4 linked regions of the Diceros bicornis minor genome follow. The protein of the gene in region 3 purifies or fractionates together with the protein of the main gene of each other region. This does not show direct contact. Links are inferred from orthologs where the notes say so. Each region holds a gene or a part of one and is shown on either strand. Other genes may lie near its edges.

Region 1 (7,334 bases), on a different chromosome or scaffold from region 3:
ACCTGAGAAGGCCCAAGCCTATGCCCACCACCCACGCCCTCTGATGGCCTCCATCCACAGACCACAGACACCTCCTGCTGCCGGCCGTAACTCCCAGCCTAATTCCTGCCACCCAATGCTGCTTTCTAGACCAGGGGTTCTAAAATTTATCGTGTACAAGAATGAACCAGAGATATTTTGAAATCCAGATTGTGATCCAGTAGTCCGGGTCCCGAGATTCTGCATTTCTAACAAGTTCCCAGGGGATGATGCTGCTGGTCTGGGGACCACACTATGAGTAGCCCGGGGCTAGAGCAAGTTTGAGGAGACCTTCCCTCCCCCTTCCCCGGACCCATGGCCCAGGCTGCAGGAATCCTATAGGATAGGCCAGTGACAAGGAAAGAAATGGAAATTAGGCTTTATTTTTGGGCAGCCTGTCCTCTGGAGCAGCCTTTCCCTAGGCAGAAAGGTCCACAGGCTAAGGTCAGCCAGGTGAGATGTCCAAAAGGGCCGAGTGGGTCCTGAGACAACCCCCAACTTACATGATGCACCCAATGGACCACACGTCCACCTCGAAACTGTGCCCTTTCTTGCTCAGCACCTCAGGAGCTATGTAATTAGGAGTCCCACACAGGGTCTTCTTCCGCTCCCCGTCATATTCCACTTTGGTTGCCAGTCCAAAATCCCCTGAGACAGAGGAAGCAAGAGGGGGTATCAGATGCTAGCCTCTGTCATCTGTCAGTGCAGACATCTGGTTCAGGTCTGACCATCAAGAACCAGGGTCGCTTGAACCCTCAAGCCTCTATTCCTTGTGCACAGCAAGGCTTGCCCAGGAATCCCCCCACCATGCTGGCCCCAGGGAAGGGCCTCCCAGTGACCCTCCTCACCCCTGACCTTAGAAAGGAGGGCTAGGCTTCTAAAAGGGACTTGATGGGGATAGCAGAACTCAGACGCCTTCAGGGATCAAGCAAGTAAACTTCAAGACTGTTATCTGGCAAGTTTGTGAGGAAGTAATAGGGAGGAGTGGGGACTGTGGCAAACCAGAGGGAGTCTAAAGGGAACAGCTGCTTTTCAGCCCAGCAAAGAGCTGCCCTGAGGGAATGTTGGCCCTGTATTGCTGGAGCTTCCAGTTGTTTAAAAGGAACTCCAAATCCAAGGTTTTATGTCAAGACTAATTTAAAAAATGGAAACTAATTCAAATCCTTTTAAAAAAAATACCGTGTAGGGGCACAAAATCATGCATCTGCAGGCAAGATACTGGCTTGTGAGCTCTTTGTTTTAAATGTCCGCCCTACAGAGAGGACTCCAGAGGCAATCAACAGCTCAGACTTTCCACCACCCTCTACCTCCTCCGTCCTCTCCTTCCTATTTCCTCCCTCCCGGCCTCCTCCTCATTCCCACTTCTCCTAGTGGTGTCAAGCACCCGTGCAGGCCCAACACCTCACCTATTTTCACCTCCAGATCCTCGTTCAGGAAGAGGTTGCCCAGCTTGAGGTCCCGGTGAATAACCCGGTTGCGGTGCAGGTACTGGCAGCCAAGGACGATCTGCCGCAGGTAGTAGCGGGCCTCGGGCTCAGTCAGGGCTTTCCTCCGCTTGTGCAGCTCCAGGAGAGACTGGGCGGGGGAGGAGAGGAGGAATGCGGAGTCGGTACTGAGGCCCGAGGGGAGACGGGGTGTCATTAGGTAAAGACAGCTAGGACATTCCCCCAATTCCTTCTCCAGGACAACTGCGATCTGGGCCCTCCCCTAATCCTGGCCACCATCGTTCATAGCACCCCCTCTCCTACTAGCTCCCTCTCAAGCCCCTCACCTGGGACTCCTCTCCCAGCCCCACTCCGGAAGCTCAGCGTTCTCAATATCCCCTCCCCCGGCCTCTTGGCAGCAGCAGATCCCTTTCCCGACCCCTCTTCCCCGGAAGCTCCGAGGTCTGGCTCCAACCACCCTCTGCCTGACCCAACCCCACTCCGGAAGCTCCGGGTCCACAGCACCCCTTACCCGGGACTCCTCCCTTAGCAACTCCGGAAGCCCGGGGTCCATTACCAGGGTCCTACCCCGGCCCGCGCCGCCCCCACCCCCACCCCTCTGCCGCACACCTAGGGTCCAGGAGCCGCCTTCCCTAGCAGAAACAGGACTCGGGCTCCACTTAACCGGACCTCGCCTCCACCCTCCCCGCCCCCAGCAGCTCTGAGTGCCCAGCACCCTCTACCCGAGACCTTTTCCATCCCTAGCTCGAGGTTCCCAGCACCGCCACTCCAGCAGCTCCGGGCCCCGGGCGCCCCAACCCCGGCCCCCAGGCAGCTCCGGTCTCCCAGGAGCGACACTCACTCTCCGGCGGCAGAGCTCCAACACCACGAACACGAAGTCGCTGTCCTCGAAAAAGCCGTGGAAGCCCACGATGTGCTGGTGGGCGAGGCTGCGGTGAATGGATATCTCCATGGACATCTTCTCTTTCTGGTGTGGCTTGAGCAGCAGCGACTTAGGCACGATCTTGCCCGCGAACACATCCTTAGTGTCCGCGTCCGAGATCTCGAAGCACTTGGCAAAGCCGCCTTTCCCCAGAAAGCGTCCCCGCAGATAGCGCCGGCGACTGCGCGGGTCCACTAGGACCTCCGGGATCTCTTTCGCCGGCGGGGCGGCCGCCGGGGCCCCGGGAGCCGCAGCGCCGGGGACCCCGGCTTTCCCTGGGTCGGCTGGTGCCCGCGCCAGCTTCCCTGCAGTTGCCGCCGCACTCATGTTCCCCGAGTTGCTCCGCGGACCTAGTAGGGTCTGGGCAAATGCTTGGCACCGCTGCGCTCCTCCTCGAATTCAAACGCGGCGCCGGGAACGTTACAGGAGCCTGCGCGCCACTGATTGGCCGCGGGGATTTAAAATCCAAACCCGCCCGCCGCGCGGCACTATGGGAGCGCTCTACACCGCAGCCGCCTTTAAACCCGTTCCCAGCCGGGGAAAAACACTTGATTGACAGGCGCTCGCGGACGGCAGACACGTGGGATGCCTGGGAAACAGTACCCGGCGTGGGGAAGCCGAGCCCCAGGCCGAGGAGAGGAGACAACTTGCAGTTCACATGCACCGCCTCCAGGAAGCTTTTCCCAACACCTCCCTCCAGCCCCACCCCGCCTTCTGGAATATAAACTCGGAGAAGGGAGACCTGGTAGCGCCGAGAGCGAGCTTGGGAGAGCCTTAGCACCCGCCTCCGATGTCATCAGCTCTCTTCCAAGTCACTCCAATAAAGTAAAATCTAAGTAAAACCAGGATGCTTGCCGGGCAAATGCACCTGCACTGCAAGCCTGCTACTCCCCTCCTTCACATGACAGCTGCTCCTGAGCCTCTCTGGGTTGCAGAGCAACGCTGCTCAGAGGAGGTTCCAGGGACCACCAGCATCACCGCCACCTGGGAGCTTGTTAGAAAGGCGGAATTTCAGGCCTTACCGCAGACCTGCCCAGTCAGAATCTGCCTTTCCACGGGGCTGCCCAGGTGATTCCCACACACACGGCAGTTTGAGAAGCACAGTAGGAGAGCCCCCCACTATGCAAGAAAGTGAGTCGTCTGGCTTGCTCACTGCTGTATTCCCCAGTGCCTGAAAATGTGGACCCTCAATTGTTTGCTCAGAGGGAGGATGGCTAGGGGGCAGAATGCCTGGCAAAGGGGAAGTCCAGGGCCAAATCTGTCCTGCAGGGGTGTTTTGTCAGGCTTCCCACTTTTTAAAATTTGGATTCATTCACAACACTTAGAAATCAAGGGGGTTCACATAAAAATTCAGACTTGTAGCTTTTCCTGAAAAAACTAGAGGCTCTGGCAACTCTCCGCCTACATACCTCCCCAGTGTGCCTCAGGTCCCAGCTATCCCCTTTGCCCATTGCCTATCTGGCAAAATAGAAGCCCTTTCTCTGCGCCCCCATACGTCGCACCTTGTGATGTCTTTGATAGAGCCAGCAGAAACCAACCACACCGTAAAGGTCTCTACCTGCTTCCCAATAAACAGAGGCAAGGACATGTTTCCTCCCCACGTCCAAGCTCCCAGCGCAATGCCTGGTAAAAAGGGTTAATGAACATGTCTGCTGAATAAAAGGAAGTTGTTGTTTTTTTAACTACATTTGTATTTTTTATCCCTGTGGTGTGTAATCTTCTGTTTTATCTTTTTTTTTTTTTTTTTTTTGTGAGGAGATCAGCCCTGTGCTAACATCCACCAATCCTCCTCTTTTTTTGCTGAAGAGGACGGCCCTGGGCTAACATCCGTGCCCATCCTCCTCCACTTTATATGGGATGCCGCCACAGCATGGCTTGCCAAAGCAGTGCGTCGGTGCGCACCCGGGATCCGAACCAGCGAACCCCGGGCCGCCGCAGCGGAGCGCCGCACCCAACCGCTTGCGCCACCGGGCCGGCCCCTGTTTTATCTTTTTATCGAAGTTGAATCTGTGTACAGAAAAAGTGTACATACCATAATTGTAGAGCTCAGTGAATTTTCACAAACTGAACACACCCCGTGTCAGCGCACCCAGACTACCAACACCCCAGAAGTCCCCTTGTTCCCTGCGTGGGGGCCCAGTTCCATGATTCACTAGGAGACTCACAGGACTCAGCATCTAGTCCCACTCACGGCCAGCTAGGACGCATTACAGCTACAGGCTACGGAGCACAAGCACAGGGGGCAAAGGCGCATGGGGCCACGTCCAGAGGAAACCAGGCACAAGCTCCCAGAGTCCTCTCCCAGTGGACTCACACAGGACACCCTTCACTCCTCCAGCAATGAGTTGTGACCACACATGCAACATATTATCTACCAGGGAAGCTCATTAGAGACTCAGTGTCCAGGGTTTTCACTGGGGACTGGTCACACAGGCACCCTCTGCCAAGCACACAACCAAATTCCGGATTCCCAGAAGGAAAGCAGGTATTTGGCATAAACCACATTGTTTGCACAAACAGTTTAGGCACAGTGAGCCACGCTTATCATTCAGGGAATGGTGAGAACCCTCCCCAAATCCAAGCTTCCAGTCGCCAGCCAGGGGCCAACCTTGCAGACAGACCTTTCCAAGGAGAGCAGTCTCAGGCCTGCTTGATCACCTCTTCTCTGTACAGTCCACACCCCTGGCCCTTGGCTATGCTTCTTTACAGCAAATCACGATCAGTAGGACCCCACACAAAACGGTGAGACCAACCTGCAGTACTGATCTCAGTTACACCTGTTAGGGTCCTGGATTTAGCCAGCTACAATAAATCCCAATAACTATAGAAGTCTATCTTAGAAAGCCAAGTGGTCTCCTCCTCAGTTTCTGTATGACTCGTTTTCACCCAAGGCATCAATCAGGTACAGCACAGCTGCGGCCGGTACATTCAAGCTGACCTGAAACCTTCCAGGGCAGAGGCAGTGTGGCGACAGGGCACACAGACAGAAGTGCAATGCCAGAGGGTACACGTGGTTCCCCTGGAAATGAGTTTGCAGTGTTAGGGTACCCCAAGGGGGACATACACTAGTCAGGCAGTAGGGGTTAACAGGGCCCCCAGTGTAGCCTCCTACCATGGGGCCTCTTGCCCTCGAGTTTCCAGTCCAGTCCAAAAATCCATGCAATCCTTGGTTTCTGAGGGACTGCCTGAAGAGAGTTGATTCCAGAGAGATTTGCTTGTCCATGATACAAGTCTATCCACCTCATGAGGGTGCACAACACTTGAAGGAGTTCCGCATGGCAAGGGCAGGAGCTGGGCCCCCTCTGTTGTCACACAGTTAGAGCTGCCAGGTGCGATCCCAGGCTCCACACTCTGAACTCAAAAGCACTCCCAGCGCATGCTCCCAGAGGCAGCACTGGGCGTTTCCCCCAGGAAGAGGGGAAAGCTTCCAGGAAGAGTTCTGAAAAACAGATCATAAATGCCCCCCCTTCCCCAAGGCTCCCCAGGTGCCAAGTTTTTACTTTTTCTCCATTGATACAAAATCAGTGTGCCCCACTGATCAGCAATCCTAACTTGACACTTTTTCCATCACCTCTTACTCTCATCCAGGCCTTTCATCTGGAAGGGTTGTATGCAAGAGGCACAAAAGTATTTCTGTAGATAAACATTTTTATACAATGTAACCAGAAAGACACATTCAGGAATTGGTCAGGATGTGTTAAGGGCTGAATTGTGTTCCCCCAAAATTCATATGTTGAAGCCCTAACCCCCAGTACCTCAGACTGTGACTGTATTTGGAGACAGGGCTTTTAAAGAGGTGATTAAGGTAAAATGGGGTCGTTGGGGTGGGCCCTAATCCAATATGACTGGTGTCCTTATAAGAAGAGATTAGGACACAGACTACTCAGACGGAGGGGCGACCATCTGCAAGCCAGTGAGAGAGGCCCCAGGAGAAACCAACTCTGGTGACACCTTGATTGGACTTCTGGCCTCCAGAACTGTGAGAAAATAAATTTCTACTGTTTAAGCCACTCAGTCTGTGGTATTTCGTTATGGCAGCCCTAGCAGCCTAATAGAGGATGAAATTTTGAATTTTCAAACATTTCAAAATGGGTTTACAGAACCTCCTACCCTTTTTATCCAGAGAGCAGCTTAGAAAAGATCAAGCCCTCTCTAGAGACAGCTACATTTGAATAATCAACCTACCTTACCTTCGTGTCTGTGCTGGGGGAAATGTGAGGCGGCAGAGTCAGGCTATCAGCCCACTGTGGCAAGTTGCAATGAATCCAGAAAGCCAGACACAAGTCAACAGCGGTGAGATGTCCCCCAGAGAAGGCCCAGAAGGTCTGATTTGTCAAAAGCAGGCGGAGGGTCACAGTCCCTGTGACTGCCCTCCCCCAGCCTGCAGCTTTCCACGGGGATCACAAGTTAGGATGCAATTAGCCTCTGCATCAGAGATAAAGAGCTGATCAGTAGCTTGCTATCAGACGGTCCCATCAGAGAACAGGCCCTTTCCTGTGGACATTTGTATGTGACCCAGATGGTCCAGCCAGCATCCACGAGGTATGCTTCCATAATTGAGAGCTCCACAGAAGGGGTCCTAAATCTTCAGGGGTCCCAGGGTCTGAGTCCTGTTCATGGAGCCTGTCTCTGCTTTCAGTTCAGCACAGCTCCTGTGGAGGCTGCAACAGCTCACAGCAGCCAGCATCAGTTTTCTGCTCAGAGTCAGGTCCAGGCAATTGGGATCAGTGAATTGGGGATTCCAAACACGCCAGCTGCTTTTCTTCCGCAGCAGCAAAGGCATGCTGCAGTGCCAGACAGCCAGGTCCACGTCCAAGCGACAAGCAAGGCTTCCTTTTTATCTTGTCAGTCACAGAGTCCAAACTGACCCGCTCAAGAATACGCACATCAGACTGGACAGTCACCAGCCTCTACAGGTCAGACATTCGATTTCAATAAGGGCTCATTAG
Region 2 (7,381 bases), on a different chromosome or scaffold from region 3:
CAGGCTAGAAATACCTTTTTTTTCTTTTGATAAAATATCCAAAGCTCTTTAGTAGCACACATTCATCTTGGTACACTGGAGAATAATAGAATAAGAGTTACAAAACTTAGCTCTAGTTCTAGCTCTAGTTCTAGCTCTGATTCTTAACTAGTTTTAGGTAAATTATTTAACCTCCTTAGGACATTTTTTTTTAAAACAAACAGAAAACCAAGAGGTTGGACTAGTCTAAGAATAGTATATACCTGGCACATATACCACCCACTAGATAACTGTGCCCGCAGGAGGCATCACCAATCAATCATAAGTCACTTTCCCAGAGAACCCATATGACCAAAATCCCTCTCAATACAGTGCTTCTGGCAGCTACTTCAAAGCAGAGTTGGCCCATAAACCATATTTGCCACTGTATAATCTCTGCAATCTCTTGCAACTCTAAAATTCTAAGACCAAGTTTCTGAGTGGGAGAAAAACTTCAAACAAGCTTAGATCACCGTTGATAGTCATAAATTTCAGTCTTATCTCCTAATTCTCCTCCAAATTGCACCCAATCTCGTTCTAATTTTTTCAAAGATGCTAATGAACAATACACTCCAATACCATTAACATATTTAACCTGGCAATATAATTCAGGCTTGCTAATGGGTTCTTTTGACAGAAAAGGAGTCCTTTGCCCAGACTGTCCCTAAAAAATCCTCATCCAAAAATATGGCAACAATATTACACTAGGAAAGAACTAAACTCAAACCCTTAAACATCCCCACAGCCTCTGTCCAAGGTCAAGGCTTTTCACCTCTCACCTAGACCTCTGCAATGGCCACTCTTCCATCCCTTCACTCTTATCACCAGAGCAATCTTTCTGAAACACACACATACTCATCCCACTTTCCTGTTTAAAAATTTGCATCTATTGCTAACAACATAAAACTCAAGTTTTTTAGCATTATACTTAGAACTTTTCATATAGTTGCCTCCTTTGACCTTTCTGGCCTCATGTCTCACATGCTCTCCTTCCTCATTCCACTCCCTGCTCTCTGAACCCTTTTTCTTCTACAATCCTCTGCATTTACAAACAGCATTAAGGTTTCTTCCTTTATCTGCCTTGTCCTTCCTTTTCCCCATCCCTATCACACTCCTACTCATCATCTAAGACCCAACTTAGGTCCACAGGCAGATTCTGCCTCCTTCTGTGGCCAACCCCCAGATAGAACAGGTCACTTCCTCATCTGTCTCCAAGTTTTTTGAGCTGTCCTAGGTATGCTCACAGTATTGTTTGCCTCAGTGGTTCCCAACACCATCAGAATTACCTGAGGCATGTTGTAAAAATAAACTCCTTAGAGCCAACACAGGCATACTAAATCAATCTCAGGAGACAAGACCCCGGAAATTCTACTTTTAACAATCTTCCCTAATTATTCTAATGGTCAAATTTGGGGACTACCGGTCTGTCTCTTCCAATAGGTGTAAAGATGTGTTTTTTAAAAGAATGTAGAAATGATTTACTCTAGAATACACTGAAGAAGTATTCTGCACTTGCTTTTTATTTCATATCATAATCCTTGTTGACTTGATTCATATGCTGAAGATGAAGGAATTCCTTTTGGACTCACACCCAAAAACCTTACATTCACTGTTCAAAAAAAACAGTTGAATTTCCACCTTCATTTCTAAATCTTAAAAATGAAGTAATTGTACCTTGAGTAAACCTATGAATACACAGTGCAGGCGCTCACCAGATCTGCCACGAGAACTTCATTTCAGCCGAGAAACAAATCCTTAGCAGATTTTGAGAGTGGAAATACACTGCCTCTACATACTTCCTTAAAATCGAATTATATTAGGAATAGATGCCGGAGACCCCAACTAAGTGCCAATGATAGGCGGCTGGCTCCAGCGCCTCATTAATTTTCAAAGACAAGTCCCACTCTTCCTTCCCCACCCCTCACTCCCCCAAAAAAGTATACTGAAGCTGTAAAATAATGGCAGAAAATGTAACACGATTAAAGATACAAATGTAACCAAGAAAACAAGTTGGGTTGTTACCGGGAATCGTGAATTTCGGGTGGTTTGCAAGTTCACCTGGTTACATCTCGGACTAACGTTAGGCCCAAAGTCTACTTCGGGCGCACGGTCCCTGTGTTTATCTCTCTTTAACTCGCTGCCCGGAAATAAATCTTAAAACTTGAGGTCCCTACGAAGTCATGTCCTCATCATGTTTTGACCCTTATAATACGTTCACGGCTACTTTTTTCTTTTCTCTGCTAAAGGAACGGACACTCTCAGGAAGGAGGACAGTGACAGCTCCACGTCTGCAAAACTCGGCGCCGGGAGGCGCCGGCAGGGTCGGGGCGGCGGGAGCCGAGCAGGGCGCCCGGGCCGGGACCACCACGCTGGGGGACAATGGAAGGAGGAGGGGACTGGAAAAGACAAGGGTAAGTAGCCGCTGTGCTGGGCCCCCCTCGCGACTGGGGGCTCCAAAAAGTCTCGAGAAGGCCAGCCGGGTGGCAGGTGGGCCTCGCCGCCGCCCCTCACAAGGCCACGTCGCGCGCGCCGGCCGCTGCCGCCGGGCCCCGCGCGTAGGCCCGGCGGCGGGAGAGTGGCCCCCGGGCGGGGCTGAGGGGCGCGGGGCCGGACCCTGCCGGCGTCCGCCGCGGCCCAGCCCTCCCACAACTTGGCGCCGGCGAGGCGAGGGGCTCCGGACGCCTCAGCCCGACAGTGGCCACTCGGTGCGTCCGGCCGTCCCACCTCCCGCCCGGCCCGGGCCACTAGCCCGAGCTCCTCGCGCCCCCAGGGGCACCGGCTCTGAGGGAAGAGCGAGGAGCCAAGGTTCTGGGGGCCCGGCTCGCGCGCCACATTTCTCCATTCCTCGTTCTCCTCGGACACTCTCATCCGGGCACCCCACTCTCCCCAGAACTGCCCCCAGCCCGCCTGCGGGTATTTACCGGGACTCGGGGCGGCGGCGACTCTTCAGTCCCTCGACTAAGATGGCAGCCGGTCCCGAGCCCCGACTACAGGGACCGGAGCCACTAGGCCGCCAATGCGCAGGCGCCTCCTCCTCGGGAGCGACCCCGACTACAAACCCCAGAAGGCCTGGCGAACTTGCCAGCCTCTGGCCGGAAGAGCTGGCTGGAGCTGGTGAGCGCAGCTAAATCGGAGTTTGCTCCCTCCCAGCGCTTCTAGGCCCTTTTTTAATCCCTCCCGCCCCACCCCCACCCCCACCCCCACCCCCACCCCCAACCTCTAAAGACTGTAGCTTCGGTTCCGAAACTCTAGTGTGCGTCAGAATCAGCTGAAAGCCTTGCTAAAACTTAGACTCCTGGGCCCCCCCTCCTCCCCCAGAGTTTCTAATTCAGCTGATCTTAGATGGCCTGTATTAATTTACATTTCTAACAAGCTCTCTGGTGTGCCACTGGTGGAGGATCACACTTTGAGAACCAAGATTTGTCCTTAAGGAAGTGCACTCGGGAGTTACATTGATCCGGTTCAAATATACCTTTTAACAGGGTGCGCTTAGGGTTGATGAAAATAGCTTACACGTAATTGGTGCCAACAGGGCAGGTGTTCCAAGAGCTACTCAATAAACTTCTTTAAACCTCACAACAAACTTATGAGGGAAGTATCTTCACTATCCTCACTCTACAGATGCATAAACAAAGTCACAGCTGGATAAGAACCCAGGCAGTCTGGCTTCAGAGTCCATCCTCTTAACTTCCTTCATGAGTTGTTTATGAGAATAGATAGGCTAAGTAGACTCAGAGGAACAACTAAGTGCTTAGTAATTAGTAACCTTTGCTATTATTGTTTAGCCTGTTTCCTCCTAGTGAAAATAATATTTCACCATCTAGAAAGTCACTTAACGCTTTTCAAAATACTTTCAAATCCTGTATGTTAATGTTTCCTGCAATATGCCTTAGGAGAGTGTGTTAAAGATACAGATTCCTGCTTACAGATCTTCTTAAAGATACAGATACAGTATCCTGTACTCTTGGGGGGGTCCTACCTATTCAAATTCTCTAGGACAGTGGTTCTCAAACTTTAGTGCCCATCAGAATCACCTGGAGGATTTGTTAAACCTTAGTTTGCTAGACTCCACCCCCAGAATTTCCGATTCAGTAGGTCTAGAATGGGGCCTCAGAATTTGCATTTTTAACCACAGACTACACTTGGAGAGTCACTGCTGTAGGGCAGTGTTTCTCAACCTTTTTTTAATCATCTCTCTAAGGAACATTTTAAGACATTTTTTTCTCTAGTCATTCCCCCCATGAAATTTTAATATCACAAGTATACTGTATATCTATTTATGTACTATATGTATATCTGTGCTTTTACATGAAAAAGTAAAAAAATTTTCCTCTCCACCCCCAACCAATTTTTGTCCCATTACGAATGTATGCTCTGGGCCGGCCCCGTGGCTTAGCGGTTAAGTGCTCGCGCTCTGCGGCTGGCGGCCCGGGGTTCAGATCCCGGGTACGCACCAACACACTGCTTCTCCGGCCATGCTGAGGCCGTGTCCCACATACAGCAACTAGAAGGATGTGCAGCTATGACATACAACTATCTACTGGGGCTTTGGGGGAAAAAAAAAAATGAGGAGGATTGACAATAGATGTTAGCTCAGAGCCGGTCTTCCTCAGCAAAAAGAGGAGGATTAGCATGGATGTTAGCTCAGGGCTGATCTTCCTCACACACACGAGGGAAAAAAAAAAAAAGAATGTATGCTCTGGGAAACGTGGGTTTTTAAAGTAGTGCCCCAGGTGATTTTTGTCAGCAGGCAGGTTTGGGAAACACTATCTCTTTAAGGTATGAGGTGTTTTTATGACTATTATACGGAGAAGGAAATGAGTCTCAAGGAAATTAGATGACTGATCCAAGATCACTCAGCCAGGAGCTAGGGATCCAACCAAAGTCCTCTGGCTCCAGATTCTGTCTTCATCTACAATTTTTTAAACTATATAATGTTAGGCAAAACTAATCTACGGTGTTTGAAGTCAGGATAGTGAATCCCTTTGAGGGGAAGTAGTACCAGGAAGGAGACACAAAGGGGCTTCTCAGGGCTGGTAATAATGTGGTGTGCTGGTACACAGGCATGTTCACTTTGTGAAAATTCATCAAGCTGTATACTTATGATTTGTGTATTTTTCTGTATTTGTATTATATGTCAATAAAAGTTTACCTCAAGCAAATATATGTTTTAAATATATGCTCATTTTGTTCCAAAAATGCATCTCTTTCTACTACATGCCAAAGATTCTCAAACTTTAGAGTGCCTCAGAATCACCTGGAGGGCTTATTAAAACTCAGATTGTCAGCTATCACTCCCAGAATTTCTGAGTTAGGAAGTTCTGGAATCAGGCCTAAGAATTTGCATTTCTTTCTTCTTTTTTTTGTGAGGAAGATCAGCTGTGAGCTAACATCCATGCCAATCCTCCTCTTTTTGCTGAGGAAGACCAGCCCTGAGCTAACATCTATCGGCAATCCTCCTCCTTTTTTTCCCCTTTTCTCCCCAAAGCCCCAGTAGATAGTTGTACGTCATAGTTGCACATCCCTCTAGTTGCTGTATGTGGGATGCTGCCTCAGTATGGCCAGACAAGCAGTGTGTCGATGTGCGCCCAAGATCTGAACCCGGGCCACCAGTAGCGGAGCGCATGCACTTAACTGCTAAGCCATGGGGCCGGCCCCAGAATTTGCATTCCTAACAAGTTCCCCAGGTGATGTTGATGCCCAAGGATCACATTTTGAGAAACACTGAACTATGCCAACCTAACTTTCATGCTAATGCCAACAGGGTGGAATAGCTCTGCCCTGGGAGGCAGTACTTGGAAGAGTTAATAATTTAGGCTTATTCAGAGGCATATGGATCAAAGATCTAGTCCTGACTATCAACAACTTGCTTCAGGGTCTTAGGCAAGTGCCTTGAAACTCAGTGTCCAATCTCTAAATGGAAATAATAGATCCTACTTCCTAGGATGTTGTGAAGACTCTAGAAAATCCAGGTAGGTAGTTGGTGGTTCTCCAAAGAGAAGTTGAGTTGGTGAGGGCAGAGAATCCTCTCCTGGCCATTTCCTCATCTCTCATGCTGTGCAGTTTTGGCCCCCAGGTTCCCTGATCCAGAAGTCAGCCTAGTCTTGGCCTGGTCAGAATGCAGGACCTGTGGCTGATAAAGCTGTGAGCCACCTACACCCTCATTCTGCCTTGGACACCCAGGTCAGCCTGGGACAAGACCCAGCCCTGCTAGAGCAGGGGCAGGAAGCCTGGAGGAGGCCCCCACCACCAAGAGAAGGAGCTTCCCAGGCCTCTGGGGAGAGTAGGGGGGAAGGAAGCAGGGATGCAGAGCTGGAATGAGTGGGGAGAGAAACCCCAGTGGCCCACACACAGCCTGTCACTTACTGGCTTTCCCTGCAGAAGGCTTAGTCACGCTGTTGTCCCTCTCTTCCCTGAAGCCACTCTGTATTCAACTGCCAGAGACAGGGGAAGACTTGAAATGTGGCAGAGCTGTGTGTAGATGGAGAGAAGACACTGGATGGGGCTTCTGGGAATCTAAGATCTGGATCCAAAGAGACCACTTAAGACCTGAGGTCATGGCTCCATCAATTCCCCTCTTTAAGACTGTTTCTTCATTTGCAAAATGAGGCGCACACATTCTGCAGTTACTCCCTCCCAGGTAAGGTTGTCAGATTTAGAAAATAAAAATATAGGATGCTCAGTTAAATTTGAATTTCAGGCAAACAATGAATAATTTTTTTAGCATAAATATGTAACAAATATTGGTATAACATACTTATACTAAAATTATTTTCCTTGTTTATCTAAAATTCAAATTTAACTGGGCATCCTGCATTTTCTTTGGCAACTCGACATCCAGGGCTTTATCCACTTTTTCCATCAGGGGTAGTAAACTTAAATTCCTCCAAGGGCCAGTAAGGAAAAATAAAAAATCACAGCTAATATTTACTTTCTACATTGTAATTACCAAATAGAGTCTTAAGTGTTTTATATATACTATCTCATTGAATACTCTCAGCAACCTAGGTGGGGTGCTCAGTTTCCACATCTATAAGATGAGAATGGTAATATAACCTATATCGTGGGTCATTGTGAGGATTAAATTAGCATGTGAAACACTTAGAACAATGCCAGGCAAGCACTCAATAAGCAATAGCTATACTTTTTCCCATTATACAGATGGGGAAACTGAGTCTCAAAGAGGCAGGATAACCAGCTTGTGGTCATACATCTAGCAAGTAGCAAAGCCAGGATTTGAACTCAGGTCTAAAACATTGGCAACCAATTCAAAACATTTAAAACTCCTGCATGTTTCATCAGCAGGAAAATGGATGAAGTGTGGTATATTCATTCATACAGTAGAATACTACTAAGCAATAAA
Region 3 (7,687 bases):
GGGAGTAACGAAAAGGACTAGAAAAAGGGACAGGGTCTGACAGAGCCTGGAGAAAAGCACAAAAAAGCCGTAGCAAGCAGAAGAGACCTCATAAAGAGAACGCTGAGAGGCTCCAGCTGGCTCTCCAGACAGGTAGGAAAGCAAAGAGCCAGGACCTCCAACAACTGAGCAGGAGGAGTGCTACAGAACAGACTGAGGCGTGGAGGAGCTTAGCAACACAGGAGGGACTGGGGCCTCAGGGCCAGAGCCCCTTACCCAGGACACCACCCGTCCGTTGAAGCAGGGAAGGCGGGCATTGTCATCTGAAATTTCTTCCTTCACCACCCTGCCGAGAGAAGGGATAAAAATCCGTGAGACTGGACTAGCTCCCCCGACTCCCATCCCCATTCAAGTTTCTCCCAATCCTCATCCAGCTCAAGGATGTGGATTTTCTCTCACCCTGTCCAAGTCCTCTTCTGTTACACCGAAACACGTCACTCTTAGACCTAAGAAATCTCCAAAAGATTCCCTTTCCATATTTCTCCTTCTCTCCCCAGCTCCTCCTCAGGGGCTCAACGCTGCTCCAAAGATTTCCTTGAGTCTGATTCAAACCTCTCAGTCCAATTTCAAAGGCCATCCCATGAGGTTACCCCAGCTGCCCAAAATATCTATCTGACCTTAGGAGCCTTGCAGGCAGCCTCCCCTCAACCTCTAACCTGTTCCTCACACACCTTCCCAAAAAAGGCTTTGGTCCTCATGTAAGTCTCCACTCTTATGCTTTCCTTAGTTTTCTCTAACTCACTTCCAGAGGGCAGTCCAAATGTGCTGTCTTTGCCTAAATAAAAATATCCATTAGACCAAAGAATGGTACTTCTTCACTAGGCCGAGAGCTCTCAAGGAGAGGGGAAGCCGGGCTTCCCACTCCCCTGTGCCTCACCTGGCACAAAACTCTGCACTAAGCAATCGGCTCCACCTGACAGACCCCAAAGCCCAGCCCTGGGGACCATTTGCCCCATGGGTTCCTTGCGATGGACTGGACTTGTCCCTTCTTCTCAACTACCACCGGAAATCATTAATCATTAATGCCTATTCTGTTCAACACTGCATCCCAGCCTCACAGCAAAGTACCTGATACTTGGTAAGCATTAACAAATATTTGTTGACTAAAGGACTCAATATATAAGCTATGAAAATCTCTGCCCTGAACACACACTCTCATACATCCTCACTCTTGAATTAGGACATACTGTCTGATTAACCCTTTAGCCTAATATGGTTCTAGGAGCCTGGATACATGCCAACTTAATCCCATTTGCTATCAAAGCGACGACACAGCCCAGGCACTACTAATCTGCCTCAGCATAATGTAGTATTCTTCACAACATAATCCAGTCTCATCATAGTCCAGCCTGCCAAGTTGTTCTATTCTGTATCACCACAGGGATACAAACCTGGCTTATAGACTAGTCAGACTCAGTACTAATAATGACAATTATCATTTGCCAGGTACCTGTGGTAGGCATTTTACTTTGATGATCTCCATTTCACAGATGAGATCAAAGCACAAAAATTAAATAAATTATGCCAAATTAAAATGCTGACAAACAGAAGAACCTTGATTTAAATCCAAGGTAACTCCCAACACAGTACCACTTTCCCCAACGTCCAACAACCTTTCTAGGGAGAGCCCAGTCTGTTCAGCCCTCCTAGAACCCAGGCAATCCCAGCCTAATCCAGCCTGCCTTCAAAGCTGAGCTTGAGGACAGAGACTGCTCAGTCTCAAAGGCTATAGACACAAAAGGGCTTACTCTGCATTACTTAAAGTCCCAGTCTAGCCCAGAATGTCCCAAATTACCCCAGGAAAGCCCAATCTAGTCTAGCACATCCTAGAATGTCTCCACATGCAGCTGTCTGCACCAATACAGACTAGAATATCCCAATACAGCTGTCTGTACCAGCAGAGACCCCAACAGACTGTCTGCTCCTCTACTGAGTGTCCCAATAAAAACTAGGCCCCCACAAAAACTAAGATCAACCAATACAACCCAGTAGAGACCAGAATGGCCCAAGTTTCTCCAAGATAGCCTAATCTACTCCAGGGCAGCCTAGAACATCCCAATACAGCACACTCTGCATTATTACAGACTAGAGTGTCCCAAAACAATCCTGCCTGCCGTAGCATAGGCAAGAGCGCCCTAAGTTACCCCAGTATAGCCCTATCTACGTCAGGAGATTCCACAATATCCCTACATAGCCTGTGTGCTAAAGGACTGCTCAGAATGCACTGAACTACCAAAAGATAGATGAATCCACCTCAGCACAGTCCAGAACATCCCAAAATAAACCAGTGAGCCCCATTCTATTCCAATATAGCCTAATCTTCTCTAATCTGGTTTAGTATAGCCCAGTATGTCCTCCTACAGCTCCGTGCGCCTCAATCTGTCCAAGCATAACCTTGTCCATCCTGTGATACCCAATCTACCCCAGCATAGCACAATCTACTCCACTATAGCCCACAAATCCCCAGCATGGCCCAGAATGGACCTATGCCCCTCAATATTGACCAATCCACTCCAGCACAGTCCCCAGCCGTCCCAGTCTAGGCCTCGGGCTCACCCGAAATCCTGATCCATAGACTTGAAAAAGTACTTAGCGCCCGCGGGCCGCTGCAAGACGCTCTTGAAATCGCCGAGAGTGATGCGCTCGGCGGGGACAGGGATCTTCACCAGGTAGGGAGTCTCCTCTTCATCCAGGTGGTAAATCACCTTCGTCTCCCCGACACCACCGCCCCCCGCGCCGCTGCCCGCCATGGTCTCGCCCGCGCGCTCCCGGGCTCCGCCGCCCACCCAAGCGGGCTAATCGCTCCCGCCGCGCCTGCGCACACCCGAAAACCGACGCGCGAGCGCGTACAGGACCGACCCCGTGCAAGAGCGGTGCAAGAGAGAAGGCGGCGGTCGAGGGGATAGGAGAGGGCGGCCAAGGGGTGCGACCCAAAGCCTCGGACTCAGCCGCCGCCGCGCGCCACCGCCGCAGACGCCGCGAGCGCCCCTCCTGTGCCCCGCCCACCTCTCCCCATGTCACGTGACCCAAGCCGACCCACCTCGCGCTCTTCGTAACGCCCTCCGCCACGTGACCCTCTCCCGGTCACGTGACCACTCGGCTCCTCTTAGCGCCCCCGCCACGTGATCACTGCCTTCAGCAACGGTCTCCCAGCCCGCACCGGCCCCGCCCCCAAATGTGTCCCCACCCGCGTCCACCCAGTCCCGTGGCTAAGCTGGTCTCTGCCCTCAGGGAGCAGGCAACTGATTCCCACCCTGCTTTACCCAGCTCGGGCGGGGAGCTCCGAGCAAGTCTGATCCGCTGGAGCGAGCTTGTGGGGGGTGGGGGGTGGAGATTGTGGGGATCCTACACAGGGGCGAGGTGGGGCAAAACCAATTAAGGCCAGAGAGTCGTTTTCACCTCGGACTTGAAAGGGGGGTCAGTTTCAGCCCCTCCTCCAGCCAGTCTTCTGCCAGCTTTTCCAAAGCCTCCCTCCCAAGCAGGACAGTCAGTGAGGGCTATAAACACAAAAGAGCCCACTCTGCTTTATTTACAACACGCAGGCTGTCTGTACAAACAGCTGGCCAATATTATTAAAAACAAGAGGTGAGTGAGAGAATCGTCACCCTTCTGTTTTCCCTCCTGCCGGGCCAGGCTCTGGTTGGTACTCCACCTCTGAGCTGCCATGCCCAAAAGGGGAAGTCCAAAATTAAAAATACAACCGGTATAGAATAAATGGGGAGTGAGACAGAAGAAAAGATGAGGGACGGGAGTGCTATATTTACACTAGAGTTTTATAGACAACTGTCCCATTCCATCCCAATTCCAACCCTGGCCCAGAAAGTGAGAGGTGGCAGGCCCAAGGGACAGAGATTAAGTGTCTAGGGACCCAGGCAGCTTCCCACCCCCAAATGTAAGGGGTCCGAGTTCAAGTCCACAAGGTGGGAAGGAAGGGTAGGGGAGGAATGTGAGAAACTCATTTCCAAACCAGCCTCCCTTAGGAATTCCTGCCTTGAAGTGGGACAATATCCAAGCTCCAGGGGATAGGCTTGAGGACCCTGAGGCTCAGTTCCCAAGTCATGTCATTTAGAAGTTCCAGCCTAGAGCCTGCGATGTCAGGGCTCTCCAGATTTGGGAGGCCCCCCTAACCGCCTGGCCTCTGGCCGCAGTTCTTTGCATTTCTGGCAGTAAAAGAAGTCAGGGACATTGGTCTTCTTAATCTTAGCACAGGAGAGGTGGATCCACGTCCCACACAGGCTGCACTCAATCATGGGCCGCCCTGCAAAGGGCTTTCGGCAGTAACATGTGATCAGATCCCATGAGTCATCACCTGGGGAAAAGAAGGTTTGTTTGGTGTTCTGCCTGAGCTCTTGGATCCACAACACCCCTAAACCCAGCCTCCCAGCTGCCCTTGGGTGTCCCAAACTTCTCACCTGATTCTACCATGATGTCCTCATCCATGACCCGCATCTCGCCTTCACTGGAGCTGGCATCTCCATCTTGGCTTGTTTCAGTGCTGCCCACCTCCTTGCTTTCACTGTCAGTGGCAGGGGCTCCTTCAGGGTGCACTGTGGCAGGGGGCCTGGGAGCCTCAGGGGGTGTTGGCAGCACAGGGGCTGGGGCTTCACCCCCTACCATTGCTGCCATCTCTTCCTCCTCTTCCTCTTCCTCCTCCTCCTCCTCCTCCTCCTCCTCCTCTTCAGAGTCTGTATCACTAGGGGGTGCCCGGGGAGGACCAGGAGGTGGGAGTCTATCCCCCCGCTCTGCTTTTTTCAACTTCCGCTTCTTGCTCTTCTTGATTCGAGACCTCTTTTCCCCATCCCCAGGGGCTGGCCGAGGCCTCCGAAGCACCCCAAAGCCAGCACCCGCTCCTGGCCCCAATTTTCGGTTCTTTCGGTCCTTCTTTCGAGGAGGCTGGGAGAGGTCCCCCTGGGAAAGGGGCACTGGGGTGAGAGCAGCAGGGGGCCGGGAGGCATGTGTCAGGGATGTGGGGGACAGTGGAGATGCCATTTTGGGCCCATCTAGATCAAAGAGAGAGTCCTTGAGCTTCATCTTCTCAAGCAGGGTGGCACTGTCAGGGGCCTGCAGGCGAGAGAAAGTGGACCTTGGGGGTCCTGGCTGGGTGGGACCTGCTTGAGCCGCCCTTCTCTTGGATGACTTTGCTTTCTTAACAAAGGTTTGGATGGTTCGGAGATCTGAAGGGGCCGAGTCCCAGCCATCACTGTCTGCTGCACTCTCACCTCGCAATGGAGAGCTGGAGCCGGAAGCTGGCCAGTCACTTTCCTTAAAAAGGGGAAGAGACCAGGGTCAGCAGGCAGCCCAGTGTCATCTCAGCCCCTCTACAAACCCAGATTAGAAACCAAGAACTAGATCTACCCCAAAATATCCTGTCAAAACCACCAAGTCTCACTGTACTCATCCCAATTCCCATCAACATCTCCACTTGAACATTTCCATGTTACCTCTGCCCTCAAATTCTAGCGATCTCCCCAGTGCCCAGTGCTTTCACAACATTTTATCTCCCACACCAGAACCATACTTCTTTAGCTCTGTTCTTGTACAGCCTCCTTTGTTGCCATTTTCAGCTTCCTAAAATTTATCCAAAAGCAACTTCCATTAACAGTACCCCAAGACCATTCACTGCCGCTCAAGTCACCTAGCTTTATTAACCCCATCTCCGCCCCAGACACTAGTTTTCCCACCCAAGTTTCCAATTTTCCTAGTCTTATAATTCCTGGTAGGTTTCTCCTTTAAAGTAATACAGTCCCATTTACTCAACAGCGCCTCTATAGTCCTAGGACACCCCTTCATATCACTTGTCCTCCTGTCCCTACCTCTTTGCTAGCGGGGATGTAACCAGCATAGGCCAAGACAAAACTGCAGAACTTATTAAAATCCTCAATTGTTCTCCGACGTTTCTCTGGTGGCTGAAAGGAAGGAAACATGTATCACATGGAGTGTAAGAGGGGCATTCCCAAAGGCACAGTCCCTGGAGTGAGGAATGTGGAAAAGGTAGAAGGGAAAGAGAGACGGACAAAGGTGGGGGAGGGGGTCTGGCAGTAATACTAGGCTGCAAAGGTAAGGGAAACCTCACCTGAGTCTCTGGCTTAAGGGTCGGAGGTGGATCTGTGAAAGCAATAAAAGCTGAGTCAAGGCACTAGGCAAGAGTCGGTGTAAAACCCCACCTCTAAACCTTGAAGGTCCCAAGCGATCCCCCTTCTCTCCCAGGTACCTCAGCCAGGCCAGCAGGCCCCCAGCTGCGCTGGACCCGCCCCTGCTCCCCCTTCCGCCCCGCGAGGGGCGGAGCCTGGGCGCGGCGCCCTCCCAGGCCTCGCTATAGCGCTCCCCTTCCCCCCACCGGAGGCCTGGCGCCCCGCCCCCCCCCACAACTCACGGTTTCTCTAGACTCCAGTCGACTCGGATCTCTTAGCGCCCCACCCCGCCATACCGCTCCCCGGACCGAGCCAGGGCTGCCGCCTGCCCCTGTCCTTCACACGCGCCCAGAGCCTGGAGTTCCTACCCGGCCGCGCTCTACCGCCCCGGGTCCTCCGAGACCGCACACGCCGCCCGCCAGCCCTCAGGGTCCAGGATGACCACGCTGAACCGCTCCCCGCCCTCCGGCCCCTTCTACCGGAGCACGAGGCCCGGCGCGCCCCTCACCCCACCTAAACACACACAGGCACACACAGCCAACGCCACTTCGCGTCCGGGACAGACCAGAGAGCTCTAACCCGGACGCGGCCCCACCTGCCCCCCCCATACCGCGCTCCCCACAATTTCGCCGTCCCTCCGCCCCCATCCGGGGCTTTGGCCCCTCCCCGTCTCGAGCTCCTCGGGCTCCCCGTCGGGCCCCCGGGCCCTGTTCGAGCTCTCTCCGGCCGCCGCCCCCCCCTCCGCCCCCGTACTCACCACCGAGTCACTAGGCTACGGACCCCTAAACTCTACACCCCCCCCCGCCCAACCAGCTACTCTCTCCCCCCACAGCAAGCCCCGCTGCTGCCCACTCACCCTCCGCAACTCCCAGGCTCTAACCCTCGCCGACCAAACCTACACCCCCCCCCCCGCAACTCGCCAGTCTTAACCCCCCCACCCCGCCCCAGCGCCCCTACAACTACCCAGCTCTCCTTGCTTCCCGGCTCTCTCTCTCCCCACAACTAGCCCCGGTACAGGTCCTTCTACCGCAGACAATACCCAGACCCCCTCTTCTCCTTACAACTATCTGCCCACCTCTCTAACAATCACCGGGCTATCTCTGGCGGCAACTACCGGGAGCTCCGGCACCACCGCCACAAACTCCCCCACCTCGGCGAACTGCCGGGCTCCTACTCAGTCCTCTTCTACATCCTCCCTCCTCAACAACTCCCCGTCCCCCGATACTCCCAACCTCCCAGGTCCAGGGCCCCAACCTGCCGGAGGCCTTTTCGGCCCCTAACCCCCGAAGCTCCGGTTTCCAGCTCCCACTCGCCCCGCACACACACACACAGTCTGATCTCCAACTACCCCCAGCTCAGTCTCCCACTCCTCTTTCTCCAAGATCTCTCAACTCATCGCTCTCCCACCTCCAGGGACAGGCCCCCGACCCCCCCTCTCCGTGCTCCCTCGCCGGGCTCCTGGGCTCGACCTCCAAGTTTGCCAATTGATTCCTCGCCCGCCTCCCGCTGGCTCAGCG
Region 4 (7,063 bases), on a different chromosome or scaffold from region 3:
TCCTCAGCAAAAAAAGAGGAGGATTGGCATTGGATGTTAGCTCAGAGCTGGTCCTCCTCACAAAAAAAAAAAAAAAAAAAAAAAAAAAGAATGAACCCAGAGGGGGCAGCCCGGTGGCAGAGCGGTTAAGTGCGCGCACGCTCACTGCAGCAGCCTGAGGGTTCTCAGATTCGGGTCCTGGGCGCGCACCGACGCACCGCTTGTCAGGCCATGCTGTGGCGGCGTCCCATATAAAGTAGAGAAAGATGGGCACGGATGTGAGCCCAAGGCCAATCTTCCTCAACAAAAAAAAAAAAAAAAAAGAGGATTGAACCCAGAGACCATCCAATCCCACCACATGGTGGACATGGACTCCTTTCTCAGGCCAAGCATAGCGATGATTATGTCCCTGTCTTAAACAGCCGCAGGTTCCTCACCACTTCTTTGGGGTAATTTCTCCATAATCTCAAGCTAGTTTACTCAGTAGGGAGCACCTGGCTTCAGGCAGCACCCCACAGCAGCCCCTTACCTTTAATGTAAATACGGAAGATGTCATCCTTCACATACGACATGGCCATCGTCAGTTCCTCGTCACTGGAAAACGCAACCAAGTCCCCGTCCTCATCTAGATTGTTTAAAAGACAGCACTTGAGCACCCAGGGCTTCTCAGCTGGACACCAGTGCCAAAAAGGGCTGAGGCCAGCGCTAAAGGGGCACTTGCAGGGCTCTACACTGAAGCCCACCTGTCTGAGCCAGAGGGAAGCAGGCTGAAACCAGACTGCCCATTCACTCTGCCACTGCCTGGAAGGTAAGTACTTCAGCTGAGCCCTGGGCGCTTAGGAGGCAGAGTGTGTGCGTGCAGTGGCAGCAGCAGCCTGTCATCTGCCCCTTCAGAAGGTGCTGCCTCAGTCTACAGCCAGCAAGGCCCCAGCCCATCTTCCACTGTGGGAGGTCTCTGCCTGTGATCTGCTCTGGGGGGGCCCAGCTCCTCCAAAAGCCTTGGGCCTCTTGTGGTTTAGGAGAGTAAAGCAGATGAGCACATCTGCCTGCTGTCTCCCCCAGCAAAGCTAACGTTATGTATTGGTACGTAGTCTCCAACCTCTAGATGCTGGCTCAGAGGGCTGTAAAGCACCACATGCATCTGCAGGCTGGGCCAGGTCTGAGGGCCACCAGCCACAACATCCAACATAAGAACAGGGCAGTGGAGGGCCGGCCCTGTGGCATAGCAGTTAAGTGCACTCGCTCTGCTGCTGGCAGCCTGAGGTCAGATCCCGGGCGCAGACAGACGCACCACTTGTCAGGCCATGCTGTGGCGGCGTCCCACATAAAGTGGAGGAAGATGGGCACAGATATTAGCTCAGAGCCAGTCTTCCTCAGTAAAAAGAGGAGGATTGGCATGAATGTTAGCTCAGGGCTGATCTTCCTCACAAAAAACCAAAAAAAAACAGGGCAGTGTCAAAATGTAGAAACAACCCAAACATCCATCAGCTGAGAAATGGATAAACAAAACGTGGTCTGTCCATAAAATGGGGTATTATTCAGCCACAAAGAGACATAAAGTACTGACACACGCTACAACATAAGTGAACCCTGAAAACATGCTAATTGCAGAAACCAGTTAGGAAAAACTAAATATTGTATGATTATATAATGCATATAAATTATATTCCATTTATATATTTATATGAAACGTCCAGAATAGGAAAATCCATAGAGAAAAAGAGTAGATTTGTGGTTACTTGGCACTGGGGGGTGAGAGAATGGGAATGGGAAGAGAGCTAACAGTTCCTTTAAAAGTACAAGTTCCTTTAAAAAGTGATGAAAAGGTTCTGAAATTGCGATGACAGTTGCACAAATCTGTGAATATGCTAAAAATTGTACACTCTAAATGGGTGAATTGTATGGTATATAAATTATAGCTCAATAAAATCATTACCAAAACAAACCAGGAGCTGGCCTAGCCAGCTGGCAGCACTCCTGAGGGAGGTCCCAGCACTGCCCCTCCAGGGGCCGCCCTTGGCTGCCCGCCTCCCTCCCAGCCACAAAAACCTCCCAACCCCACCCCAGCAGCCACCAGTTACACCAGTACAGCAAGAAACTCAGCTCGTCCCTGGGCTTCTGTCTCTACACCAACACTTCTGAAATACATTTTGATCCTGTCCTTCTGACCGCTGCCAATGGAATAACGCCTGGACTTGGCCAGGTCTGGGCTTCTGTGATGTGTCCCTGACCTCCCCTCCCCGCCGGCCCGGGGCTCCTGGCCAGGCCGCACCGCCCCTGGTCCCCCCCACGCCCAGGCTTGTTTACTGACGTCAGTCCTCTCCCCGCCGCCCCTTCCTACGCGTCTGCCCAGTCCAGGCGCTTCCACGGCATTATCTGAACCCCCACCTGGCGCCGGCAGACCCAGACTCAGCGCAGAGCAAGACGTCTGTAACCTGAGTGCCCGCCTGACCACCCTGTGCCCGCCGCGAGCCGGCGAGGACGCCCCAGCGCGCCCTTGCCAACATCTGCGACATCATAGCTGGGGGAGGGACGGCAGGTCCCGCCCCGGGGCCTGAGATCCGCCCGGAGACCCCGGCAGCGCCTAGCTCGAAAGCGCAGCCTTGGTCATCACACCCGGTCACCAGGCTGGCACCCGAAGTCGAACTGGGGTCGCACGCCGGCCGCCGCCCACCCAGAAAGCCGCCACAGCAGACCCCTGCAGGCGCCACCAGGCCCGACGAGAAGAAGAAGCGGCCACCCGGCCCGCGGGCAGCCTGCGTCACGGCCCCGCGCCGCCGGCCGGCTCACCGCGGTAGTGCGCCTGGAAGCCGCTGGGCCGCAGCGCGGGGAACAGGGCGGCCACCCGGCTCAGCAGCCGCTCGCATGGCCCGGGGCCAGCCACGGCCTCAGCTTCTGCGTCAAGCTCAGGGCTGAAGCAGAAGCTGAAGCGGCGGATCTCGCGGGCCGCGTCCTCCTTGCCCAAAAGGTAAGCCTTCACCGTGAGCGACGCCATCACCAGGTGTCGAGGAGCAGGAGCGCAGCCGGCAGCGGCTATCGCGGGCGCGGCTTTTGTAGGGAGCGCGGGAAGCCCCGCCCCGCCCGGCCTCCTGGGAGCCGGGCCTGCGCGCTCCCGGCCCCGCCCCCCCCGCCCGGGCCGCCGCGCGCGAGCCGCCCTGCTGGGGCCCCGCGCCTGCCGCCCCCTCCGTCCCCGCCGCCTCATTGGTGACCACTGTCGTCACAGTCCCTAGTACAACAGGGACCCCGAAAGGCCGGCCCAAGGACTCCGACAGATGTCTGGACTCTGGTCTCTGCACCTGGGGCAAGGGACCCGCTGGGGTCCCCGCCCCAGACCCCTCCCAGGCTTGGATCTGACCATGACTCAGCAGAGCAGAACGCTGGCCGCCTGGGGATACCCAGCGCAGGAGGGAGGGGGGCGACAGAGGCCGGAAGCCAGAAGGTTCCTAGGTGCTCATCAGGCAGGGCCGGCCGGAATAAACTGGCTCCCGAGGTTCTGTCCCGACCGCAACTCTTGAGAACCCCGACCCCATCCATTCAAAGCAACCAGCTTCCCAGGTGGCAGCCCACTCCACCACCCCTAGCATCCTCCATGATGGCCTAGCCTGGTAACCTGGCCACAGCCCCTTACTGGTGGAGGGACATACCCCCAATTCAGGCCTGAGCACCAGAGGAGCTCCCAGTTGAATAGAGCACACTGTTGAGAGGTGCTGGAAGAGCTCAGAGTGCCCCCACCCCACCCGGGCTGGACCACCAGCTAAGGCTTCCCGGAGCCTCAGTGGTCAGAGTGTTCACTGCAGCCGGAGAGACTCCCTTTGGGCGCCTGGGTTCAGTTCAGCAGGCGATGTCCAAGGACCTGTGGAGTCTCAGGCCTACTGGGCTCACAGGCAGCCCAGGGGGCAAACCAACAGCTCCCCAGCTAGGAACCAGGAAACACCGCTTTATGTGATGAAAGTGACCTGTTCGCAAGGCTTGGGGAAAGGGGGTCGTTGGGGGGGATGGTCTGGAAAGGAGGTGAGTGGGAAGGGTATGTCACCCTATGAGGTCTCCCAGGTGGGGTCCTGTGAGTAGAAGTTCAGACCTGCTGAGTCAAAGTCATGTCCTTTCCATCATGGTGGGGTTTGTGAGAGCAGGTAAAACCTCAAGGGATGGGAAACCCAAAGACCACAGAAAGTTGAGTGGATTTGGCTAGTCAGGTACAAGGGTGACACGCCCATGGGAGCACAGCAAGGACTTGTTCATAGGTGTGGCTGGTCCTTCCCAGAGGGCTCCAGAGCCGGCCTTGGCACCCCTGCCCAAACTGCCCTGTAGAGAGGATGGTCCCGTCTCAGGCCCCTCCCTGCACCCCCGCTGTGAGCCTGGGAAAGTGACCCTCTGCCCACTGCCCTGCAGACAGGGTCAAAAGCCACAGAGGGGGCAGTGCTAGGCAGCGGGTGCAGCGGCCCACAGGCGCCCACGCCCGTGACTCAGCAGCCTGGGAGCCTCGCAGCCCCCAGCGGGATGGGCCTAGGGCCAGGCTTCCCGCCCCCCAGAGCTTCAGCATCCGGGTGTGAGGGGGTGGGGTGCCCAAGGCAAGCCCTGTGGCTCTGAGGAGCGGCGGGTTTCAGGAAGGGCCCAAGTCGCAGGCCCCGTCCTAACAAGCAGCGGAGACGGAGGCCGCGGGCAGGAACGCCTTGCCCTTCGCCATTTGGCCCCATCTGGGGCCGTGGTGGGTTTTCGGGGAAAGATGGAGAGCTCAGGAAGAAAGGGGGTGGCAGGAAATAGAGCCCTGGCAAGCAGCCGAGAGACCTCCGCCCCTGGGGAGGCCCAGCTCCGGCCTTCCCAGCATGCCCCGCGGCTGAGCAGGCCCTCGCCCTGCCCTGCCCCTGCCCCTGCCCTCCCCCACGGCGGGTGAGAGGTAAACAAGGCCGGGCCGGGGAACCCCCTGGCAGGGCCCCTTCCGCCTGCCGCTGCGTAGTCAGGTGGTCTGGCCGGCAGTGAGTCAGCGTCTCATGACCGCCTCATTACAGGGGGGATTCCCCGGCCCGATGCCACCAATCTCAGTGACATCTTACCAGCCAGCCAAGCACAGGGGTGAGGAGTGGCTGCATGGGCCTCTGTGGGACCCCCGGAGCCAAAAGAGCCCGCAGAGGCTAGGATGGCAGGGAGCTGGCAGCGGGGAGGCCAGAGCCAATCAGACCCTATCCCCATGAACCCAGGCCTGCTTCTGACATCTGCTGTCCTTCCACTCCCTGGGCTGCAGGGAGCTCCCCCAACCCTTCCTGTGCCTTCTGGCCCCCTCCCCACCCTCCAGAACATGGCACGAACACTCTGCAGCTGGGGAAAGCTTGGCACCTGAATAAAAAGACCGACTATCCAACCAGCCCTGCCATCTTTGGGCAAATGACCAGTTTCAGTTGCTTCATCTTTGAAATGGGGCTGGAGTGGGATGACTTGAGTCGCCTCTCCCAAGTGATGCCCCTAGGTGTGCTACTTGTTGTTTGTCTGCCTTTGGGGGTGTCAGCTTCAGGGGTGCTGTCAGGAAGGAAAGAGGCTACAGCCTACAGTGGAGGTGAAAGAGTGGGGAGCAGAGACAAGACCTGAGTCGAGTTTCTGGGAGACTCTGGGAGCAGGGGGGCCAAGAGGTCATCTGATTTGGTCTGGTGTGTTGTAACTACCTCCTCAGTTCCCCCTCCTCCCTTCCAAAAATAATCCCATCCTTTGACAAAAGTTTTCTGAAGTTCTCTTTATTTTCTTTGCCGTGTGGAGCCAAGCCTAGAGGTGGGTGTTGGGGGCAGCCAGAGACAAGGCCACTGCAGGACTCAGGCTGAGCTGCCCCTGGCCGCCGTTAAGATTGAGGATCACAAGGGATCAAGCCCCTCCTGACCTCAGCACTAGGCTCAAGGGATGCGTTTGTCTCTCCGTGGGGAACAGGGTCGTGGATGGGGTGGCCTTCAGGCCACACTGCCCTAGGACCCATCTGCCACTTTATTCCCCTCTCTCACTCCGTAGGGACACAGCCCATACTTGGTCCTAACCAGGCCCACTCATTCCACCTGGTGATTTTCTCCTGGCTCCTCCCCCTGCGTGAAACCCTTTCCCTGCTGTCTAGAGAGGCAACCTCCCACGCTAAATGGCACCTCCTCAGTGGGGGCCTTCCCTGACCACCCCCTGGGGAAAATCCCCAGGCACTGGACATCACTTCGTTTTAGCCCTTCCTGCAAAAGCCCACAGCCTAGCCAAGAGGTGTGGGGGGCTTTGGGGGGGGCAGGGTTCTCAAAGAAAAGGGGTTCAAGTCCTCGGTCATCGGGGAAATGAAATAGAGCCACGAAGAGACACAGCTGGAGAGTTAGGTAATGCCAAGTTCTCGGGGCGTGGGAGCACTGGGCCCTCCTGCACGGCTGCTGGAGGGCTGGAGCAGCCGTTCTGGGCTTTGCTGCCCGCACTAGATGCGGGGGCGAGACGCCTGCGCCCGCCTGGGGGCCATGCCAAGCGTGTGGAGCAGTGGAAACGACTCTCACCTACGCCGCATGGGGGAAGGTGAGGCTGACCGGCTAATGCGGGGCCTTGTCTGCGTATCAGGAAGCCCGGCGCCCAAGATCGGCGGAAACCCTAAGCCCGACGGGCGGCGCCAGGGACCTCTCCGGCTGAGACCCCAACCGCGCGCGCCCCGCTCAGAAGGCACGTGCGGCCCGGGGCGGTAGCCAAGGGCGGGGGGGGGGGGTCCCTGGAGGGGTGCCGCCTAGGAGGAGACTGGACCCGCCCCACCCCACCCCAAGAGGCATCGGCCAGCCAGCCCCCCTCGGCCCCAGCGTGTGTCTTTGGGCTCCCGGCGCTGGGCGGGGTCTTTGCCCGACTGAGACCTCCGGTCAAGGCTTCGGTTTCCCCGCAGCGACAGGGAGGGCACACCTCGCTCTTCGCGTCAGATCCGCTGGTCGTTAGTGGTCTGCTCGGCCCCGGGGTTCCGGGCCCCTAAGGTGGTTCTTCAAGGGGGTGCGGGTCGGACGAGGGTCAGGACTGGGATCTCAGGGCCCCGCCCCTCCCTGGCCTCTCCCTTCCTCCGTGGAGACCTACCCCCGGCCGGGCAGTGTCCCCAAAGCAGAGGGCC

The links.
Region 1: the proteins of DVL2 (region 3) and PLK1 purify together in Homo sapiens (affinity purification with mass spectrometry; 6 studies listed by BioGRID and IntAct, with this or other methods). This does not show direct contact. The link is inferred for Diceros bicornis minor from reciprocal best matches to the Homo sapiens genes DVL2 and PLK1.
Region 2: the proteins of DVL2 (region 3) and ITCH purify together in Homo sapiens (affinity purification with western blotting; 4 studies listed by BioGRID and IntAct, with this or other methods). This does not show direct contact. The link is inferred for Diceros bicornis minor from reciprocal best matches to the Homo sapiens genes DVL2 and ITCH.
Region 4: the proteins of DVL2 (region 3) and SQSTM1 purify together in Homo sapiens (affinity purification with western blotting; 3 studies listed by BioGRID, with this or other methods). This does not show direct contact. The link is inferred for Diceros bicornis minor from reciprocal best matches to the Homo sapiens genes DVL2 and SQSTM1.

Annotation. Positions count from the first base shown.
Region 1 is NC_080765.1:28,067,775-28,075,108, forward strand, and holds the start of PLK1 (serine/threonine-protein kinase PLK1), read right to left. Parts: upstream 3,017-7,334; 5' UTR 2,713-3,016; coding exon 2,305-2,712; intron 1,594-2,304; coding exon 1,425-1,593; intron 667-1,424; coding exon 522-666; intron 1-521. UniProt on the Homo sapiens protein: Serine/threonine-protein kinase that performs several important functions throughout M phase of the cell cycle, including the regulation of centrosome maturation and spindle assembly, the removal of cohesins from chromosome arms, the inactivation of anaphase-promoting complex/cyclosome (APC/C) inhibitors, and the regulation of mitotic exit and cytokinesis.
Region 2 is NC_080758.1:25,188,347-25,195,727, forward strand, and holds the start of ITCH (E3 ubiquitin-protein ligase Itchy homolog), read right to left. Parts: upstream 3,019-7,381; 5' UTR 2,940-3,018; intron 164-2,939; exon of another isoform or gene 15-163; intron 1-14. UniProt on the Homo sapiens protein: Acts as an Acts as an E3 ubiquitin-protein ligase which accepts ubiquitin from an E2 ubiquitin-conjugating enzyme in the form of a thioester and then directly transfers the ubiquitin to targeted substrates.
Region 3 is NC_080757.1:11,048,665-11,056,351, reverse strand, and holds the start of DVL2 (segment polarity protein dishevelled homolog DVL-2), read right to left. Parts: upstream 3,008-7,687; 5' UTR 2,790-3,007; coding exon 2,596-2,789; intron 326-2,595; coding exon 256-325; intron 1-255. Other genes in the region: PHF23 (PHD finger protein 23), read right to left, coding at 4,134-4,348, 4,452-5,301, 5,853-5,945, 6,113-6,144.
Region 4 is NC_080740.1:92,810,631-92,817,693, reverse strand, and holds the start of SQSTM1 (sequestosome-1), read right to left. Parts: upstream 3,010-7,063; 5' UTR 2,975-3,009; coding exon 2,770-2,974; intron 605-2,769; coding exon 509-604; intron 1-508. UniProt on the Homo sapiens protein: Molecular adapter required for selective macroautophagy (aggrephagy) by acting as a bridge between polyubiquitinated proteins and autophagosomes.